4 linked regions of the Saccharomyces cerevisiae S288C genome follow. The gene in region 2 interacts genetically with the main gene of each other region. Each region holds a gene or a part of one and is shown on either strand. Other genes may lie near its edges.

Region 1 (4,561 bases), on a different chromosome or scaffold from region 2:
AGCGGAAAGTGCCTGGAAAAAATTATGCCGTCAGCATGGGGTTGATCCTGTTGAGTTATTCAAGCATTCCCATGGTGCAAGATCACAAGAAATGATGAAGAAATTTTTTCCAAAATTGGACAATACCGATAATAAAGGTGTTCTTGCGTTAGAAAAGGATATGGCAGATAATTATTTGGACACAGTAAGCCTTATCCCTGGTGCAGAGAATTTATTGTTATCGTTAGATGTAGATACTGAGACTCAAAAAAAGTTACCTGAAAGGAAATGGGCTATCGTTACCTCTGGTTCTCCATATTTGGCATTTTCATGGTTCGAGACAATATTGAAAAATGTTGGAAAGCCCAAAGTTTTCATTACTGGATTTGACGTGAAGAACGGTAAGCCTGATCCCGAGGGTTACTCAAGAGCTCGTGATTTATTGCGTCAAGATTTGCAATTAACTGGTAAACAGGATCTGAAGTATGTTGTCTTTGAAGATGCACCCGTGGGCATAAAGGCCGGCAAAGCAATGGGCGCAATTACTGTGGGTATAACATCCTCGTATGATAAGAGCGTTTTATTTGACGCAGGTGCAGATTATGTGGTCTGTGATTTGACACAGGTTTCCGTGGTTAAGAACAATGAGAACGGTATCGTTATCCAGGTAAACAACCCTTTGACGAGAGATTAAATAAATAAGGACATCGCAGAAGCACGAATATATAGATAAAATTGTATGTAAAAGCAAAAGTTGAACTGCGTATGATTTCTTATAGTGAGTATGAAATTTTTTTTTTTTTTGGTTATCTAACTTATTTTTCTTTGATACAGATCGTGTGGTTGAACAACCGCGCCGAAGGCTTGATCAGTGGGCTGATTACCAGACATCTTCTTGGTATCTACCTGAAGTCTTGAGCATCTTGATTAGCTCTGTTGCTTCATCAGTGGTAATGGATTTACCACGGGATAAGATGCCAACCAATGCGGTTGACACACCCTTGGCCATACCCTTTGCATCACCACAGACGTAGATAAATGCACCGTTGTTAATCATTTCAAATACTTGGTCTTCGTAATCCTTTAATTTATCTTGAACATAAACTTTTTTGGTGTTTGGCAACCTGGAATGGGCCACGACCATTTCGAACGAACCATCCAATTTTTTGGCGTATTCTGGCCATTCGTCCTGGTACAAGAAATCATCAGTGTTACGGGATCCATAAAACAGTATATGCTTACCTAGCGAAACGTTGTTACCGCCCTTCTTTTGTGATTCGAGGAACGCGACACGCTCTCTGATAAACCCACGGAATGGGGCAACACCGGTACCTGGACCGATCATGATAACTGGGGTGGAAGGGTTGGAAGGCAATCTGAAGTTAGAACGACGAACGTGGACGGGCAATTTGTAATTGGCGAAAAGTTTACGTGGGCCATTTAAATCGTAGTGAACAGGTAGGTTAGTTTCGGCAATGTTAACATTGTTTTGAGCCAATTGAATGTTTCTTAACAAGTTAGTCGTAACACCAACAACTGGAGGAGCATCAGGCAATTCTGGGTTAGGAAAGTTTTCCACAATGGAGGTGACATGGACGGTTTGCTTTTCAGACAGAGAAGAGGAAGAGATAGAGTAGTAACGAGGAGTCATTTGGGGAACTGATTCGACCAAGAATTGCATGGGTACGGTGTCCCATTTGGCGCCATCAGACAAATATTTCAGAGCATCTGCGATGTTGAAATATTTGGAGGTTATCTCGACGGCGAATTGGTCCTTGTCTTTCGAAAGCAGAGTCAATTTTTCCTTGACGTCAGCGTTGGGGGCGAACTGAATCAAAGATGAAAACAATTGTCTGGAGACAGGTCCTGTAATTTCCAAATAGTGTTTAATAGCAGCGCCAATAGTAGTTGGCGTTGGGAAGGGCACTTTGACGGTGGGATCCAGGGGCTTCAAGTCAAAAATGGTTTCAGGGTCCAGGTTGAATATGGATAAGAACTGTTCGACCTTTTCCAATGGGTTGGAAGGCCAAACAGCAAGATGGTCACCAGTGGAGTACTTGATGTTAGAGCCGGACAAGTCAAATTCAGAGTGGATGCAATTACGGTCATTGGAAGAGAACAGTTCGCGAGATTTCACGATGGGTGCAATATACGGTTGAGACAAATCGAAGGGACCCAATTGGATGCCGTCTGCGTTGCGGTTCAACTGATGCGAGGGCAAATAGTGAGCAGAGGGTTCACCAAGCGACATGGAGTCAGTGATTTCGTTCAACACAGTGTACTGGAATTGAGAGGTGAACTTGGCTTCCTGTTCGTCCAAATGCAGTTCGTCTTTCAAAACCTCCAGGATGGAGTCCTTCCAGGCCATGTAATCTTCGTCTGTAGTTCCTGCACCATCATCAGCTTCACCGAGCTTGCCTAGTCTGATAGCGCCCGCGGCGGAGAGATGCTTCTCGGCCTTCTTGGCGGCACCATTAAAGAATTCATAAGTAGAATTTCCCAGACCAAACATATTATACCTCAGGTTCGATAGTGCACCCGCTTCCGCATTACAAATAAAGTCTTCAAAGTTGACCGCCCCGTCGGGGAAGTCTCCTTCACCATATGTAGAGATAAAAATCGAGACTATGACGGGCACATCGTTTAGCGACTCAAAGTCGTAGTTCTCAACATCTGCGCACATCACGTTTAGGTTGAACTTGGCCACCAGCTCCTTGGAAAACTTTTTGGCGTAATCCTCGGCAGTCCCAGTCTGCGACGCATACAACACCAAGTAGTTCTTGTTGTTTTCGGTCACCACCTGAGCAATGTCTCTGTTGCCCGAGCTGACAGCTGTGATATCTCCGTCATCGGACATCAGCAGTTCCTTGATGGAGTTTCTCTTTACGTACAGTAGCACGGCAAGCACTAGCCCCGCCAGGACAGTGAAGTCGGTGTTGTCTATTCCAAACGGCATGATATGTGCGACAGTAGATCACTTGAAAACCGCGGTCGTTGTCTAGCGTAGCGGTGACCACTACAGGAACGCAAACTTAAGCTACATTGTTCACCATATTATACTATATATATAACCTCGCGCTGAGCTTTACAGGTGCGTTTGTCCTCGAAGAACGAAAAGCAGCCCGAAAAAAAAATGCAAAACGATAAAAGCTGGCTGGAGAACAATAGCGGGTTGACCGCTAAACGAGCACACACGTGATGTGTCGTGAACTGTGATCGTGGTAGTATGATGCTAGTATGTAGTGATGGCTGCATGGTACCAGCGGTGACGTTCGGTAGACTCTACTCTCCTTTGTTCCCCCGGTGTGCCATCTTTTGAGTTTTGCGTGCGTTATCTACTGGGAGCAAGGGTCTGGCTCGTACGCATAGAGGCTGAGGACGAACAGTGTGCGTTTGCAGGCGTGGATATAGAATACATAGCTATATAGATGGGTAGTGCGCATGGGAAAGTGCAATTGAGCGAAGGAAGGGGCAGGTGGACTGTAGATGTCGCCGCGTGATTTTATCGTTGTTTCTCTTCTTGTGTTTTCTTATGCGTTAGTATGCCAGTTTCGCGGTGTGATTCCCAAAGTGAAATTTTACTGGAAGAGCAAATCTTGTAAGTCGGCGCTCGAAAGCACAGTAGCAATCCATCATGGGAAAATCAGCGTATGTAAAGCTGGAGCGTCCTTCGTGGCGCATCGGAATTTCTTCAATTGAACTACCTGTTGCTAACAACAGTTTTTTTTTTCTCTCTTTTATGTATATAGCGTTATATTCGTGGAAAGAGCCACTCCCGCTACACTAACGGAACTGAAGGATGCTCTCTCGAATAGTATCCTGTCCGTGCGAGACCCTTGGTCGATAGACTTTCGGACGTACCGGTGCTCTATCAAGAACCTACCCGCGGATGTCTCCAAGCTCATGTACTCGATAACGTTCCACCACCATGGCCGGCAGACCGTGCTAATCAAGGACAACTCAGCGATGGTGACGACTGCCGCAGCGGCGGATATCCCTCCGGCGCTGGTGTTCAATGGCTCATCTACGGGCGTTCCTGAGTCCATAGACACTATTTTGTCGTCCAAGCTGTCCAACATCTGGATGCAGAGGCAGCTCATCAAGGGTGATGCCGGTGAGACGTTGATCTTGGACGGGCTCACCGTGCGACTCGTCAACCTCTTCTCCTCCACTGGGTTCAAGGGTCTCCTGATAGAACTGCAGGCGGACGAAGCGGGCGAGTTTGAGACCAAGATTGCAGGCATCGAAGGACACCTAGCTGAAATCCGGGCCAAGGAGTACAAAACCTCATCCGACTCGTTGGGGCCGGACACCAGCAACGAAATATGTGATTTGGCGTACCAGTATGTTCGTGCTCTGGAGCTGTGAGTTCTTACGAATGCTTTTTCTTTTTTTTTTTTTCTGTTTGTATATTGCGGTGTATACGTATAGATAGATAGTCTAAATAGTAATCTTCAACCTTATGTATCTCGGCTCATGCAGTGAGGAAATCCATGGATAAGCCCGGATTGTAGTCATCGTCGCTGTCGCTGTCGCTGTCGCTGGCGTCCTGTGTTTCCTTCTGTACAGGTTCTTCTGTCGG
Region 2 (5,309 bases):
ATAGATGTAGGAACACCATTTGAGTTTGCCATAATGATTAAATTTCCCTTTTTATAAAGAATTAGCCGCCCATAACACGAAAAATATCACAGTTGACGAAAGAAGACACGTCGCCTAAACGCGTAATGAATCGCAATATACGAAAAGCTAAACGGGTTTTTCAGAATCCTCTTACCCAGCCTTGGATAATAGTTTTGGCCGAAAAAAAAAAAAAGAAAGAAAAAAATTGAAATTTCGCGATCCGAACAAACAATGAACAGAAAAACAGAATATATATAACGCTGCCAAGCCTATTTCTTGTTGCCGATTAATTGTTGACATCCTCTTAATTACCAAAAGAGCCTAAGAAAACAAACACACTAACCACACAGTATCTTTCGCCCGAATGTCTGAATTGAAAACAGGTCATGCAGGCCATAACCCTTGGGCTTCAGTTGCCAATTCCGGTCCGATCTCTATTTTATCCTACTGTGGTTCCTCTATTTTAATGACGGTGACTAACAAGTTCGTCGTCAATTTGAAGGATTTCAACATGAACTTTGTCATGCTTTTCGTGCAATCTTTGGTTTGTACTATAACCTTGATTATCCTACGTATACTGGGCTATGCGAAGTTCCGTTCATTAAACAAAACAGACGCCAAGAACTGGTTCCCTATTTCCTTTTTACTGGTCTTGATGATCTACACCTCTTCGAAGGCTTTACAATACTTGGCTGTTCCAATTTACACCATTTTCAAGAATTTGACTATTATCTTGATTGCTTATGGTGAGGTTCTCTTTTTTGGTGGCTCTGTCACCTCCATGGAATTGTCATCATTTTTGTTGATGGTCCTTTCTTCTGTCGTTGCAACTTGGGGTGACCAGCAAGCTGTGGCTGCCAAGGCTGCTTCATTGGCTGAAGGAGCAGCCGGTGCTGTTGCCTCCTTTAACCCAGGTTATTTCTGGATGTTCACCAACTGTATCACTTCTGCATTATTCGTTCTTATAATGAGAAAGAGAATTAAGTTAACTAACTTCAAGGATTTCGACACTATGTTTTACAACAATGTTTTGGCTCTACCTATTCTATTGCTGTTTTCTTTCTGTGTGGAAGATTGGTCTTCAGTTAATTTGACCAATAACTTTTCTAACGATTCGCTAACTGCTATGATCATCAGTGGTGTTGCATCCGTCGGTATTTCTTACTGTTCCGGTTGGTGTGTTCGTGTTACTTCGTCTACTACATATTCGATGGTAGGGGCTTTGAACAAGCTGCCAATTGCCTTGTCTGGTTTGATTTTCTTTGATGCTCCAAGAAACTTCTTATCTATTCTCTCCATTTTTATTGGTTTCCTATCAGGTATTATTTATGCTGTTGCCAAACAAAAGAAGCAACAAGCCCAACCTTTACGTAAATGAGAACTTACGGGGGGTGCAATTTATTTTTTTTTTTTGGTTTATTTTATTTTATAGAGGCATCTAATGCAAGTAGATTTATATACAATTATACTTAAAATTGATATACCTTAGAACAGGTCGGACACAACGTGTGGTAACTCCAATATATCACTAATGACAATAGCGCCTTCTGGTGTTTGCCCCAAAATTTCATTTACTTCATTCTCAACTAAATGAATACATGTTTTCATGCCCAATTTGATACCTGTCTCGATGTTTTTCCCACTGTCATCTATAAAATAAGCATTCTCGTATCTTGCCAACCCGCTTTCCTTCATGGCTTTTTCAAATGCTTTAACATGTGGTTTGCAGACCAGCGTATCTGTCCTAGAGTAGTCACAATATGTCAATCCATCAAATAAATCCGCTATACCCAACAATCTCAGGCAACGTATTGCGTGGTTTTTATAAGCGTTGGTGAAAAGCCACAATTTATCAATCTTTCCCGATTGTCTCAATCTCAACAGCATATTCCTTAATGGTATATCAGGTTTCAAGATATCTTGTAGTGGTAAGGAATCATCCACAAGCCGGTTATATTCCAGTGCGTTCACTTTGTGGAACATTACAAGTCCCCTTATGGCAAGTCCATACTCTTTGTAGTAAGAGTTATTCAAAACGTGAGCATCTTCAGGTGATAGTTTCAAGTGTGTTTGAAAGAACCTCAGTATAGATTGTTGCATAAGATCGTGAATTCTCGTGGATGATTTATAGAGACAGTTGTCGATATCAAAAAAGAAAACTTTTAAGTTCGGGTTTTGAGGTGTAGCAGAAATATCTTGATCGATCGGAAATGTCACTTTCGAACCTGGATGAGTCAATGATTCAAGATGTGCTTTATTCTTGGCAATTTGTTCGTTCACCTCATTCTGATAGGTTGCCAAATCGGATGCAGTATATTCAACAGTCATGAAGCCTAGTAATGATTCGGTCCAAGAGCTTACTCATGTATTCCGAAATTAATTCAGGTGAAATGGGGGAGTAATATGATATCAAGAAGGCGATCACTTATTGAAGTCCACATAGATACACACAGATAAACATATATATATTATGTATATATATATATATATATATATATATATATATATGTATATATCAACGCCCATACCATTATCATTATCAATAAGTTTGCGAGGCGGGTACCCTCCCTCGTGCTATTATATTACTGTTGCCTTAATTGAGTAATTTGATCGATGACTAATTGCAAGAGATTGTGATTGTTGTACGAAGTTATAAAATCATCCACAACACTCGTTGAGTTTTCCAGTGGTGAAGGTAAGCGGGATGAGATCTGAGTCTTAAACTCTTGCAATTGAGTAATCAATTTATTTCTCAAATCTGTCAGTGTCTCTTGAGGGCATTTATACAATTCTAAGTTTTGTAGGATTTCAATCGTAGGCTGCACCGTTTGATAAATTTGCAACGTGGTATCATTGGTTAAACCTTTTGAATAGAATACCGCTGTATCAATATATTGTTTCAATGCATCATCATCAAGTGGAGATACAGTGCCATCATTGAGGTTCGTATCATTATCATGGAAGATATCTAATTTATGAAGAGTTTCAGGCTCCTTAAGCTTGGCTCTCAAAGTAGAGAGTGTATCCAAATGTGTGTTTATTTCTTTCACGGTTCTCCGAATGAGATGGTCTCTAAAGGTGGACGAATTCACAAAATCGACAACAATCGCGTCCTTATATTGCTGATTGGAGTGATATTGATGATCTTTGCTGTTGGCACTTGATATCAGTAACGCTTGAACGTTATCGTTAAATAGTGTCTCGAATAGGGATTCATTGAATATAGAAAGTAAATCATCGTCCCACTTCGAGGAAAACTCCGTGTTTAGTAAATTGTATAGTTTTACCCACTGTAGTAAAGTTAAGTTTAATGTCTTCATAGAGTCCACCAAGAACTTCTGTAGTCGACAACATTTGTCCTTGACAAGCGCTTCAAATTTGGAAGGAACTGGTATCAAAGATAATTCGTGGAAATTCAACAGTAGCTCGTCGAATATCCGCGACGGAGTAGTGGAAGTAACTATACGATTACAGAAGTTGTTGATGGAGATGGTCCAATTTGAAATTACTAAAATGTTTTGCGATGGTATGCTGACTTTTTCTTCGTCACGAGGTGGTGATATATGGGTAGTGGTTTGGTATGGTAGTGGAGTTAACTTATTCAACTGAAATTTTTCATCATTGAAACACAGGGATTTAAAATCTTGATCAACATTTTTCAAATTGAGCGACAAGTCATTAACAGAATCGGTCAAGCTTAAGATCTTGTTATAGTTCTTTAGCAAATTCTTTTGGAAGGCCTCATTGGTTTTAGTCAAATCGTTCTGTAACTCCAATTGATAATCTTTAATCTGTGGAATATGAGAATCGCGAAACAATGGTAAGACTTCATCCATTTTCTATCGTATTGGTTTTTTTTAGGTTTTCTACCACAAGATTTGTTGTACGAATGTGTTATTTATTATTCACCGCCATGTTTCATTTTTCTTCAGCATAATGATGAACTGTAACAGAAAATAGGAAAAAAAAATTGTCATCTGAGAAATTGCTTTGGATGACCAGATCCAAAACAGACATAAGCATTCGTATAATTGGTACATAGGTATATATCAAATAAAAATATGCATTATTCTAAAAAAAAAAAAAAAAAAAAAAAAAAAAAAATCAAAAATGTCTCTCTAAAGGGTGATTATAAAAAACTTGGTTTGGGCAAGTTTTTAGCCTCCCTTGGACCATTAGTGGCGAAAGTGGAGCCTGCATAAGAGTGACTGAGTTTTTTGGCACTGCCATTACAACCCATTGGTATTATCCCTTGAGAGCCATGCGGGGATTGTTTCTGGTTCAGAAGCAGATTCTTTAGGTTCTGACTCAGTAAACGAGTATCATCTTTGTTGTTCTGTCGTGGCGTTTCTTTATTATTCTGTCTGTTTTTTTTACCTAAAGTAGTTGTAGAGGAAGGGGAAGAAGGTGGAGAGTGCTTCTTTTGATTAAATGATGGTTTCTTGTTGGAAGAATGGCCGAAGTTAGGTTTCTGACCGTTAGGAAGAGTTTGAGGAGGTGGTATATCTGTGATATAGTTGTTATTATTGGCGTTCTTAGCAGCATTTCCCCTCGCACGATTATTTCTAGTTTTTTGTTTGATTAGATTATTTGTCTTGTTCCTGCCAGCCGATGGCAACAGCCTGGAGCTGTTGAAATACATGGTATCCGTCGACATGCCTTGTAATATTTGTGTGAGTATATTTGTGTGCTAAGTGTAATTACGTTACGCTTTGCTGAGTACTTCGTCTTCAATACAGAGTATGTTATTGTCCTTGTTATTTGAAGACTTTTACCTTTTCTATCCGTATTTCTCTATCCGATACAACAACATCATTTTACACGAACAGCCGGATGATAAAACTGTAGTACGTATGGTATTTGTGATATCCTATATAGCCATATAATTACTAGCAGCTATGCAACAGTCAAAGGATCGCAATCCATTTTGCTTACGACTACTTCGTGGCCCTCATCTTGCAACAAGCCCTTCATAACGTCTTGAAGGAATCCACGCTCAGTATTTGAGTGGTTGCAAACAATAACGGTCTTGCCCATTTCTTTCCACTTCAGTACTTCATGATGTGACATTTCTCCCGTATAGTAAAGGTCTACGTCCTCTTTTAGTTGCTTAAACACGCCAGAACCGCTCCCGGCACAGACAGCGACTTTTTTGATTTTGAGTTGATTCCATGCGGATGGAGCAGCAAGAGATGCTACTTGTACATAGGGAACCCGTAAAACACGCTTGACATTTTTGACAATTTGCTCCAAAGAGATGTCTTTATTGAATTCTACGAATCTACCGT
Region 3 (4,665 bases), on a different chromosome or scaffold from region 2:
GTTATTGATGTTGCAAGGTCATAGGAATTCAGTTATATCTGTGGCTGTGGCAAACGGGTCTCCGCTGGGTCCAGAATATAACGTTTTTGCTACTGGTAGCGGTGATTGTAAAGCAAGGATTTGGAAGTATAAAAAAATAGCGCCAAATTAAGAACAGAACACAAAAGGAACACTTTACAAATGTAACTAACTAAACTATTCTTCAATTCATTGTCATTATATCTTTCTCTCTATTCTTTTTTATCTACTTATTTGTTATGTTATGATCCAGGTACGCTTTAAAACAAACAGTTACTTTCCTCACCATTCATCCCTTCCCCTCCTTTTCCTGTGTTTCTGAATATTGCGGTTCATTATTCTTTGATATGAATTTATTTGTGTATTGTATAAGCTTACTTTCCTTTTATATGTATATGTATATATATATATATATATACTATCTTTTTTCTTATATTTAAAACTAAAAAAAAAAAAACTACATGTGCTCATGAATATAAAATTTATAGATCTTTGATTCCCTTCTCTAAAGCAGTAGGGTTAGCTCCAATGATCTTGCCGATGAGTTGGCCATCCTTGCCAAGAACAAAGGTGGGCATAGCCGTCACTTCACACTCTTTGGCAATATCTGGTGATTCGTCCACGTCGCACTTGACAAATCTTACATCTGGATAAGCCTGAATTAATTTCGTTAAGTGTGGTTGCATCATCTTACAGGGGCCACACCAAGTAGCATAAAAATCGATGACTAGTTTATCATTTTGCTTGATCAAATTCCTAAATTCTGTTAGGTTCGTCAATTTAGTAATACTGGTGTATGAGGACTGGAATCTTATGCTTTTTAGCGGTCTCACCGCCATCCTCATCACAGGCTTATAGAACAACATAACAGCTTTGGTTTCTCTATGTACTAACCAATCCTGCTTTCTTTGGTTAGGGGGCTAGCTCATTTTATATCTCATCGGGGCAATTTTTTCCATCACAGAATACTAGGCAACAAAATCTGCAGAAGCACAATCCACATTTGGAATTAAAAGATAGTGAAAAATGTACATGAACCCCAACCAGTAACTTAAACATAATATTTTGGGTCACTATATCTAGGGCGTTGTTCTTCTTTGTGATTTATGCAATATACGCATATATGTATATATATATAAATATATGTTTAAAAATGTCCATAGCCGCTATTTGATCATAATAAGCCATCTTCATACAAAGCCAACAATTGATCGTTCTCTGCTATATAAGCGTTGATATCTAGGGCAAACTTGTCCCAGTCTATCTGGGGAATGTCGTCGTTGCTAATCCATTTTTGCTTTTGAAATCCGTTCTCTACAGTGAAAATTTCTCGCAGTAAATCCCTATTCTCCGCCAATACATCAACAAATTCCTGGTAATTCTTGGTATTTTGAATTTTGTGGAAAAGAGAACACAGATTCTTGACAAAAGATTCTCTTTCGTTAATAAGCGTCTCTAGCTGTGTTCTTCGTTGTTGCAGTACGATGTAATCGAGATCTTGATGCAGGTCAGTTTTTTGAAACTTGGCCACAGCATCGTGCGTTCCCTTTGGGGTGATCATTCCAGTTTAAATAGACTGGTACACGCTAGTACTGATCTTGTAAGCGGATGAGCACTTTGTCTTAATCCTCCTTAACCATCGCTCATAAACCCCAGTTTTATAATCGGTGGCAAACATGTCATTTGGTACGGTATCATTTAGAGGAATCAATTGGTTGGGTATTAAAACTGACACATAATTACTGTTATTGGTAAATTTATAATTTATCCATTTGGATATATTCTGAGATCAATGTGGATTTTTCCTCTCAAACCGAGCATCAAAAAGACTCAGGTTTACACAGGAATCGTTAAACGCAGTCGTATCATTACTGCCTGTAGCCATGTCATCTGTGTACTTGGTATTATAGTTGGAGATGAAGTGGTACGGCTCCATGGAAAATGTGCAGACATATTTATGATCTTTCTTGTCATAAATGAGCCATTTCTGTTCGTTTTCGTGCGCTATTTCAACTATGCCGATTCCTAAATTTAAACTAAACGATTCTTCTTGGTCTGCATCTTCTTCTTCCCCGTAGTCGCCACTATGAAGTTTTGTTTCCTTAACGAAAGAGGACACTTGGAATGGTGGTAAGTTCAGCAATTTCTTCGGTAGTTCGACCTTACCGCTTGTGTGGAATGCTGGGGCATCAATTGTGGATGAATAGATGGCGAATGATTTCAATGAAGACAAAATTTCGTACAAGAACAGCTTCAATCTTAAATTAAATGATATTTTATCAAACAGCTTGCATATGCTATCAATGAATGGACTTGTGGGTTTATCAGCTGATAAATCAGCGATGATGCGTTGGAAAATGGAATCCTGATGAAAGCTAAAAATTTTCAAGACGGCATCTATTTGGATTTCTCTCTTAGATAAATTTCCTTCGTTCAGTTCACTTAATTGTCTTATGATCTTTATTAGTAAATGATAGTTCTCCATGGAAATAACTATCATACCAGAAGTTTCTCTTTGAAACCTCATCGATAATGACGTTATAATCTCGATCACCACAACGATGTAATTATCATCTATCTTTTGGTTGTTGTTTTGCAAACAAGAAGTGCAGAAATCTTTCTCCACTATTTGGGTTATCATCTCAATGGTCTGCATATCCTTCAGTTGGTCAAATATTTGTGAACATAAATCATTAGAATTAGTTATTTCGATAATTTGGAATATGAAGTTCTTCAAGTCTTCCATTGCCATTGCTGGCTCATTATTCTCCATGATTTTTTTGATGCAGAAACAGGTAAACGCTTGGAAAACCCAAAGATTGGCAAAGTCCATCATAACGTAATATTCTACATGATCAATTTCGTCGACTGTGTGATCATCATCGTCACTTTTATCATCGTTGGTTACAACAGTGTCATTGTCTGGTTGTCCACTACCCAATGGAATATCGTTAAGATCGGTTTCCGACGGACAAGTTGAGTAGTACAAAATATCCTCCAAAATATTAGATGAGTTTTCCACGCTATCATTCAATAACAACATAATGATTTTTGTAGATGTTGCAAGTAATTTGGGAGATGACCCATAAGTTATTAAAATTTTCAATAGGATCTCATAATAATTTATTTCACATTCGTTGCCATGATATTTTTTTTCTAATTCATAACATGTAAGTAAAATTTTCTCAAAATTTGACTTTATGAATTGTTCTTTATGATACTTCAAAAACAGACCATATGAGCCGTCATTATTTTCCAAGTTTATTGGTAATAATCGAATAATATACTCGAGCCCCAACACATTCTGCGTCACTTCAAAAGTTAGAAGTTTTAGAGAGATCAATTGAATTAAATTTTTGTTAGTAAAGTCTTTCCTTTTCAAGAAAATGGACATAAATTTATTGTACTCCTTCAAGTTAGTGGCAATCAAAAGCATGACATTGTTTCGTGCTTTCTGGAACTGTTTGCTTGTATTTGTATCAATGATCTCGGAGTTGTGTAGTAGAAACCTGATGTTTACTTGAAACACCTCGGGAAAATTCCAAGTCTGTCCAACAGCTTGGTTTGAATTATTGATCATGGAATACACCTTCAAGACTTCTGATTTATCATTCTTCAGCTTCTCAGTTTTCAATTTCTCATCATTGTAAACAGATTGTAACTCAATCCTTAAATCGTTATCCACCTTTAAAACAAAAGGGAAGTTTTTCATAAAAAATTTCCAGAATGGCATAAATGAAGTCACATTATAAGCAGGCACGTCTTTTTCTTTCAAAACTTTCTTGTAAATGAATATGAACGTCTTCGTAAAAAGAATATGGTCATTAATGAATTGTGAGAACAATTTTTGGTAGCATAGCAAGATGTCCATCAATGCCTCCAGAGATTCTATATCACTTAGCAATTGATGGTAGACAATAAACTCGATCCACTTAAAAAAGTGGTGGAAAACCTCCAGATCGATACAAAAAATCTTGAATATTTTTAGCAACACTGTGCGGTTAACACTAGATAAAATACCGGAACATAAATGTGATAAGTACCATTCTGCAACCATGATTTTAATGCTCAGAGGAGTTTTCGACAGTTGCAAATTAGTTATATCATTGGAGAGTATTCGCATTTTGATTTGTTCTGTGATTTCCACGAGTTGGTCGAAATTAAAAATTTCATAAAATTTAACGTCATATTCCATAACGTTCCTCAATACCATATTGTATTGACTTTTCATCAACGGTGAAATTTTCAAGTTAATTAACAGCTGGACATGCACAAACTTATCATTGGAATCTTGGAGATAAAGTAGGCCGGAACTGATTAGCTTTCTGATATACGTAGGGACCTTAATGATGCCATAAGTAATTAGTATATTAAGCAGGCGATACAAAGAAGGCATCATATATGATACCACCCTCTTTTGGGCCGAAAAATTTTTGGCTAATTGGAAAACCAATGACCAAATGGCATCTTCTATCTGGAATTCGTGCAAATCCTCATCTGTTGAATTTATTCGCAATAGTAATAATTTCGCTACCAGTTGATTAGATTCATAGTGATCAAATTGCCTTGATGGATGTATGGACCAGAGAATTAATTGAATAATTTTATGCATTGTAAGGGGATTTTGGTCAACGTAAGTGGGCCAAT
Region 4 (7,254 bases), on a different chromosome or scaffold from region 2:
TCTACGGACGTTACAATACCTTCCACAGCAAACTACCAAACAAATAGTGCACATGATCTGGACGAAGAAAAGGAGTACTTTTTTGCCAACTGTTTCCCCATGTACAGAAAAAAATTTCAGTTCAACACACACCCCAAATTCCTAGGGACGAAATCCAAATTATTCATCAACCAAAGCATTTCTCCCGATTGCACCAAATTTGCTCTAATTACTGAACACAAGTGGGAAATTTATTCGATTAATCCGAAGGACAACTCTCCTCAACTAGTATCATGTGGCAAGTCTAGTGGAGAATATGGTCCCAACTTCAACCAACTAACAGAGCAATCGTCATCTTCACTCTCCACTACTTCTCAAGCGTCAAAAAAGAAAAAGAAAAACTGGAGCCAACGTTTTTGCAAACTTTCCAATGATTTCTTGATAATATCGGGTTCGCAAAACATTCTTAATGTACACGACATACACCAAAACGGCAAACTCATCTATACCTACGTGTCGAGATTCCCCATCCGATGCATAGACATAGATCCAAGGTCGCAGATAATAGCCTACGGAATCACCGGAAAGGATAGACATACAGGCGCGGAACAAGCATTAGTCGTGATCCAACAAATTACCAGAAATAAAGTGACTTTGGAGCCCGAGTTCCCCCCACCAATCACCATAACACTTCCATACAGAGATCCCATCAATACCATACAACTTTCGCACGACGCCAAGTATCTGACATGTTCGACCGCGCTAGAGTCGCGGTTCTTGATCATATCTTTGCAGAAAATAAACGAACCAAGACTGATAATGAAAAGTGTTCGGTCCATAGACACTTCCTTAGAATCTGAAGGTATCACTGACACAAAACTTTTCCCAGGAAATCCAAATCTGATGTGTATCACATCAACAGCATTCAATTCATCTCCACTGGTCATAAACACCAAAATCACCCAAATTAACGGTGTACGGACCGTGGCACAACCATCCATGCTTATAAGGGTAGATGAGATTGGATGCAAGATTCACAAGTGCGAAATATCACCAAGAAACGACGCAATTGCCTTCCTCGACCGCAACGGATCAGTTTACATCATGTGTGCCCCCACCATGATGGACAACAACGAAAAAAGAAGGACAATCCTCGTTGAAACCGTGGCAAATGCCTACAGGGCTTATGAATCAGCTACTTTGCGGTTTAACCCAGAGGGCAACAAGCTTTATATTCTCGACAGAAAGGGGACTTTCTTTGTGGAAGACTTTGCATATGGCTTGCCCCAATCTCGCGAAATCACCAAATGTAAGCAAATATTCCACAAATAATGCATCTAAATATATACGTATGTTTAAGGTTCTGGTATACAGGTATTAAAAGAAAACACTATCAACATTCCCAATAAGATATACCACACCACGTGAGCTTATAGAAGCACGTGACCACAATTCACCCCACAGGTGTGGCTTTTTTGGTGCCGTAGAAAAGACTCATTCATGAATCGTCGGAAACCCATAGTCATCTTCGAGCAAAAGGTATATATAAGCAACAGAGGGCAGTAGTTCTCGAGACCACCATCTTTTGATTGGAAATAGTTTCGTTTAGATGGGGTGCACATAGTTTTTTTCAACTGCTTTTCCTCGAGGTCACCCAAATATACAACGAGATGCCAGTTGAGTTTGCTACCAATCCTTTTGGCGAGGCCAAAAATGCAACTTCACTGCCAAAATATGGTACACCCGTAACTGCCATTTCATCTGTGCTGTTCAATAACGTGGACTCCATTTTTGCTTACAAGTCCTTTTCTCAACCCGATTTGCTACACCAAGATCTAAAAAAATGGTCTGAAAAGCGTGGTAACGAATCACGTGGGAAGCCATTTTTCCAAGAGCTGGATATCAGATCTGGCGCTGGTTTGGCTCCTTTAGGGTTTTCTCATGGATTGAAGAACACTACAGCAATTGTTGCTCCAGGGTTTTCGCTGCCATACTTCATTAACTCTTTGAAAACCGTCTCTCATGATGGTAAGTTTCTTTTGAATGTTGGTGCTTTAAACTACGACAATGCTACCGGCTCTGTCACCAACGATTATGTAACCGCATTGGATGCTGCTTCCAAGCTGAAGTATGGTGTCGTGACTCCGATTTCCGCTAACGAGGTACAAAGTGTCGCCTTACTGGCATTGGCGATTGCCACTTTCAGTAATAACTCCGGAGCTATCAATTTATTTGACGGATTAAACTACTCGAAAACCGTCTTGCCGTTGGTCGAATCTGTTCCTGAGGCATCTATTTTGGCAAAACTATCCAAAGTTATTGCACCAGATGCTGCCTTTGATGATGTCTTGGATAAGTTTAATGAATTGACTGGATTGAGACTACATAATTTCCAATACTTTGGTGCTCAGGATGCTGAAACTGTGTTTATCACTTATGGGTCTTTAGAATCCGAATTGTTCAACTCTGCGATTAGTGGTAATAATTCCAAAATCGGGTTAATCAACGTCAGAGTGCCATTACCTTTTAACGTTGCTAAGTTTGTCACTCACGTTCCATCCACTACCAAACAAATTGTTGTTATAGGCCAAACTTTGGATGGTTCTTCGCCTTCTTTCTTGAGATCTCAAGTTTCAGCCGCCTTATTTTACCACGGCCGCACCTCAATTAGCGTTTCTGAGTACATCTATCAACCAGATTTCATTTGGTCCCCAAAAGCTGTCAAATCAATTGTATCGTCATTCATCCCTGAATTCACTTACAATGCCGATTCATCTTTCGGCGAAGGATTCATTTATTGGGCCTCTGATAAGAGTATCAATATTGATGTTGCCTCCAAACTTGTGAAAGCTCTGTCTTTGGAAGATGGGAAATTTGTGTCTTTGAGAACGAAATTTGATAACTTGGCTAATGCTGGTACCTTCCAAGCTCAATTTGTGACCTCGAAAGAACAGATACCTGTTTCAAACATCGATTCTACGAAATTATCAGTCGTTGAAGATGTCAGTTTATTGAAGCATTTAGACGTAGCTGCTACCGTCGCAGAACAAGGTTCAATTGCGTTGGTTTCCCAAAAGGCAGTTAAAGATTTGGATTTAAATTCTGTAGAAAGTTACGTCAAGAATTTGGGAATTCCTGAATCATTCCTAATATCTATTGCGAAGAAAAACATCAAATTGTTTATCATCGATGGTGAGACCACTAACGACGAGTCCAAATTGTCCTTGTTTATCCAAGCCGTTTTCTGGAAATTGGCCTTCGGTCTAGATGTCGCAGAATGTACCAACCGTATCTGGAAAAGCATTGATTCAGGTGCAGACATTTCAGCAGCCTCGATTTCTGAATTTCTCACTGGTGCATTCAAAAACTTCCTCAGTGAGGTTCCGCTAGCGCTGTACACTAAATTTTCTGAAATAAACATTGAAAAGAAAGAGGATGAGGAAGAGCCTGCAGCTTTACCAATTTTCGTTAATGAAACATCTTTCCTCCCAAATAACAGTACCATTGAAGAAATACCATTACCTGAGACCTCTGAGATCTCTGATATTGCCAAGAAGTTGTCCTTCAAAGAGGCATATGAAGTTGAGAATAAACTAAGACCCGATTTACCCGTCAAGAACTTCGTCGTGAAAGTTAAAGAAAATAGACGTGTTACGCCTGCTGATTATGATAGATATATTTTCCATATTGAATTCGATATTTCTGGTACTGGAATGACTTATGACATCGGTGAAGCCCTCGGTATTCATGCCAGAAACAATGAATCTTTGGTCAAAGAATTCTTAACCTTCTATGGTCTAAATGAATCCGATGTTGTCTTAGTCCCCAACAAGGACAACCACCATTTGTTAGAAACAAGAACCGTCTTACAAGCATTTGTGGAAAATTTGGATATTTTCGGTAAACCACCAAAAAGATTTTACGAATCATTGATTCCATATGCCTCTAACGAAGAGGAGAAGAAAAAATTAGAGGATTTGGTTACTCCTGCCGGTGCAGTAGATTTGAAGAGATTTCAAGATGTGGAGTATTATACATATGCTGACATTTTTGAATTGTTCCCATCTGTTCGCCCATCTCTTGAGGAACTTGTTACTATCATTGAACCATTGAAGAGAAGAGAATACTCAATTGCCTCCTCTCAGAAAGTTCATCCAAATGAAGTTCATTTATTGATCGTTGTTGTTGATTGGGTGGATAATAAAGGAAGAAAAAGGTACGGTCAAGCTTCTAAGTATATCTCAGACCTTGCTGTCGGTTCAGAATTGGTCGTTAGCGTTAAACCATCTGTTATGAAATTACCACCATCTCCAAAGCAACCAGTTATTATGAGTGGTTTAGGTACTGGTTTGGCACCATTCAAGGCCATTGTTGAAGAGAAATTATGGCAAAAGCAGCAAGGTTATGAGATTGGTGAAGTCTTCCTATATCTAGGTTCAAGACACAAAAGAGAAGAATATTTATATGGTGAGTTATGGGAGGCTTACAAAGATGCAGGTATTATCACACACATCGGCGCTGCTTTCTCAAGAGACCAACCTCAAAAAATTTACATTCAAGATCGTATCAAAGAGAATTTGGATGAATTAAAAACTGCAATGATTGATAATAAAGGTTCATTTTACTTGTGTGGCCCTACTTGGCCAGTTCCAGATATTACTCAAGCTTTGCAAGACATTCTGGCTAAAGACGCCGAGGAAAGAGGCATCAAAGTCGACTTGGATGCCGCAATTGAAGAATTAAAGGAAGCATCAAGATACATTTTAGAAGTCTACTAAATTAATATAGTAATAAAAACTAAATATCTATTTATTGAACCTGTCTTGAACATTTCTATTTTTTTTTTACTTTTAGTTTTCTTCTATGCGCAAGCTTTTCTATTGGCTGCCAAATAGAAAATTATTGAAATATGATTACATTACAATATTTATTTGTCTTATGAAAACTAACCATCACATTATACTAACTACGGAGGTACCATCTTGAAATCTCGTCCTGAAGACCCTATTAGCATTGGCAAACATACCTTCTTTAAGCGAGACTACAATGAACTGAGATCCTTTAAACCTTGTTTTAATCAAATGACCTATATTTTGCGTATGACTTAAATCAAGAGCAGCATCAACTTCATCCAAAATATACATAGGCGCTGGTCGAAATTGCAACAATGCCATAATCAATGACAAAGCAATCAACGACCTTTGCCCACCGGACAATTCAATCAAACTTTCCTTCCATATATTACCAAGCTTTACTTTAACCTCTAAACCCTGCGTTACGTCCTTACCTTCGCATGGAACCAATTTTGCAAATGAATTTGGTAAAAGGTCTGCAAAAATATTACCAAAATCAAGTGTCACTTTCTCCCATGTTTTGACTAAAGTTTCTCTTTTATATTCGTTCAACTTCGATATAGTCTCTTGGATTTTCATCTTATCTTTTTCAATCGTTTTAATCATTGTTTTTAATGCTGCCTCCTTTTTCTCAACATTTTCTATCATATTCATAATATTTGGATTAACTTTTTTTCTGAGCTCTTGAAACTTCTCGTTCAATTGTTTACTCCTTTCTCTGTAAGTATCCAAATCGATACCCTCATTTTGTTTGACGATATTTCTCACCAGATCAAAATCCTCAAGAAATTCGTGTTTCTGTCGCAGATCTTCAATTATCTTTTCCATGTTGTTCGTATTAGACTTATATTTGTTCAAGTCATGGACCAATTTTTGTAGTTCTAATTCACTGCTTTTTTTCTCGTCCTGTTTTTTCTTTATCAATGTTTCTAATTCATTTAGTTCATCATCAATGTCCATCAACCTTTTCTTTTCTTCGTTCAGTTCTGTCTGGACTGTTACAAGGTCGTCTTCAACACCTCGTATCTTTCCCTCCAAATCAGAATTTTCCAATTTCAAACTTTCAATAGATTTCAAATGGTTATGCAATAGCGTCTTATTAGAATCTAGTTCTGAGCTCAATTGCTCTGTTTCTAATTCCAAGTTTTGAAACAAGTCATATTTACGTTCTGACTCCGATTCCTGCTCCTCCAGCTCTTTCGCCAATAGTTTCAATTCCTTCTTTAATTCATTTAACTTGGATCCTTTATCGCTATCGTACTCCTTCATGTCTTTTTCAATGGTCGAAACTTCTTCTTGACATTTCTTTAAGCTCATTTGCTTGGTTTTGATTTCATTCTCACACTCTCCAATGTCCCTCAAAATTTCTTCATTCCTAGCAATTATTTGGGAAGATGGATTCGCGTCGAGATTACGCTTAGCCAAATCCAATTTATGCAACGAGAGATTTAAATCACTTTGAATGGTCTTTGTTTTTTGCGATGTAGCATATTGCGTCTGTAGCTCTTCCGTTACATGGTTGAGATCAGCCTGAATGGTCTCAATTTGTTTTTGAATTTGATTGTATTTTTGAATATCAACTAATAACGATTCAGAGGTATTTCTACTACCACCAGACAATGTACCCTCTGGGTCGTATACATCACCTTGAAGGGTGATACTTCTAGCGCGGATCTTTGGATGGAAGGTAATTTTCTTTGCTGTTTCCGGATCTTCACAGATTAAACTATTTCCAAAAATAAATTCCATCGCTTTAGTGATAGATTCATCAAACCTTATTAAATTTATTGCCAATTCAACTTTCCCAGGAGCAATTTTCTTGGCTAAATCAAGCACTTGAGAACTTATTGGCCTCGTATATATCTTATCAAGAGGTATGATGGTAACACGCTTGCGTAATCTTCCTCTTTCTAATAGCTGAGTGGCCGTCTGAGAATCTTGAACAACAACATTGAATAGCCTACCTCCGGCACAAGTTTGCAAAGCAGTAGCATAGCGAATATTATCATTATCTATCTGGAAAAGTTGACCCACCACCCCATGGACAAAGCTGGCTTCAAAATTAGGATAAGGTTTCGTATAGTTAAATTCCAGATTTGTTACGCGTCTTTTTAAATATTCAGAGTTCTTACATGTTTGATAATAATGGCTCTTCAATTTATCCTCTCTTTGCTTCAGGTCTTTAATTCGTGATGGATCAAACCCATATTCGACTAGTCGGGCTCGTAGTTTATCGCACGTTTCTTGGCATTGTTTAACATGCTTCACATTTAACTCGTTATCTTTCGTGGCCTCCTTTAATTTAGGTTCAATTGTCAATAGCTCTTTCTTCAACAACTCCATTTTCATGCTTGATTTTTTTATCGCCAAGGAGACTTCATTCAGCTCAGTCTTTGCCTTGGCCAACTGTGCGTTATAACCA

The links.
Region 1: mutations in SDT1 (region 2) and NCP1 together harm fitness less than expected from each alone (positive genetic interaction), as found in Saccharomyces cerevisiae (one large-scale study listed by BioGRID).
Region 3: mutations in SDT1 (region 2) and TRX3 together harm fitness more than expected from each alone (negative genetic interaction), as found in Saccharomyces cerevisiae (one large-scale study listed by BioGRID).
Region 4: mutations in SDT1 (region 2) and MET10 together harm fitness more than expected from each alone (negative genetic interaction), as found in Saccharomyces cerevisiae (one large-scale study listed by BioGRID).

Annotation. Positions count from the first base shown.
Region 1 is NC_001140.6:188,917-193,477, reverse strand, and holds NCP1 (NADPH--hemoprotein reductase), read right to left. Parts: upstream 2,936-4,561; coding exon 860-2,935; downstream 1-859. Other genes in the region: DOG2 (2-deoxyglucose-6-phosphatase), read left to right, coding at 1-673; SRB2 (Srb2p), read left to right, coding at 3,614-3,627, 3,729-4,347; BCD1 (Bcd1p), read right to left, coding at 4,454-4,561. UniProt on the Saccharomyces cerevisiae protein: This enzyme is required for electron transfer from NADP to cytochrome P450 in microsomes. It can also provide electron transfer to heme oxygenase and cytochrome B5. Involved in ergosterol biosynthesis.
Region 2 is NC_001139.9:76,509-81,817, forward strand, and holds SDT1 (nucleotidase), read right to left. Parts: upstream 2,350-5,309; coding exon 1,507-2,349; downstream 1-1,506. Other genes in the region: VRG4 (GDP-mannose transporter), read left to right, coding at 386-1,399; Golgi transport complex subunit COG1, read right to left, coding at 2,604-3,857; EDC1 (Edc1p), read right to left, coding at 4,151-4,678; NIF3 (uncharacterized protein), read right to left, coding at 4,918-5,309. UniProt on the Saccharomyces cerevisiae protein: Could be an enzyme that inactivates 6-azauracil by modifying it.
Region 3 is NC_001135.5:255,797-260,461, reverse strand, and holds TRX3 (Trx3p), read right to left. Parts: upstream 885-4,665; coding exon 501-884; downstream 1-500. Other genes in the region: chromatin-silencing transcriptional regulator TUP1, read left to right, coding at 1-151; AHC2 (Ahc2p), read right to left, coding at 1,193-1,579; SRB8 (Srb8p), read right to left, coding at 1,808-4,665.
Region 4 is NC_001138.5:211,663-218,916, forward strand, and holds MET10 (sulfite reductase subunit alpha), read left to right. Parts: upstream 1-1,649; coding exon 1,650-4,757; downstream 4,758-7,254. Other genes in the region: PTR3 (Ptr3p), read left to right, coding at 1-1,311; condensin subunit SMC2, read right to left, coding at 4,932-7,254. UniProt on the Saccharomyces cerevisiae protein: This enzyme catalyzes the 6-electron reduction of sulfite to sulfide. This is one of several activities required for the biosynthesis of L-cysteine from sulfate.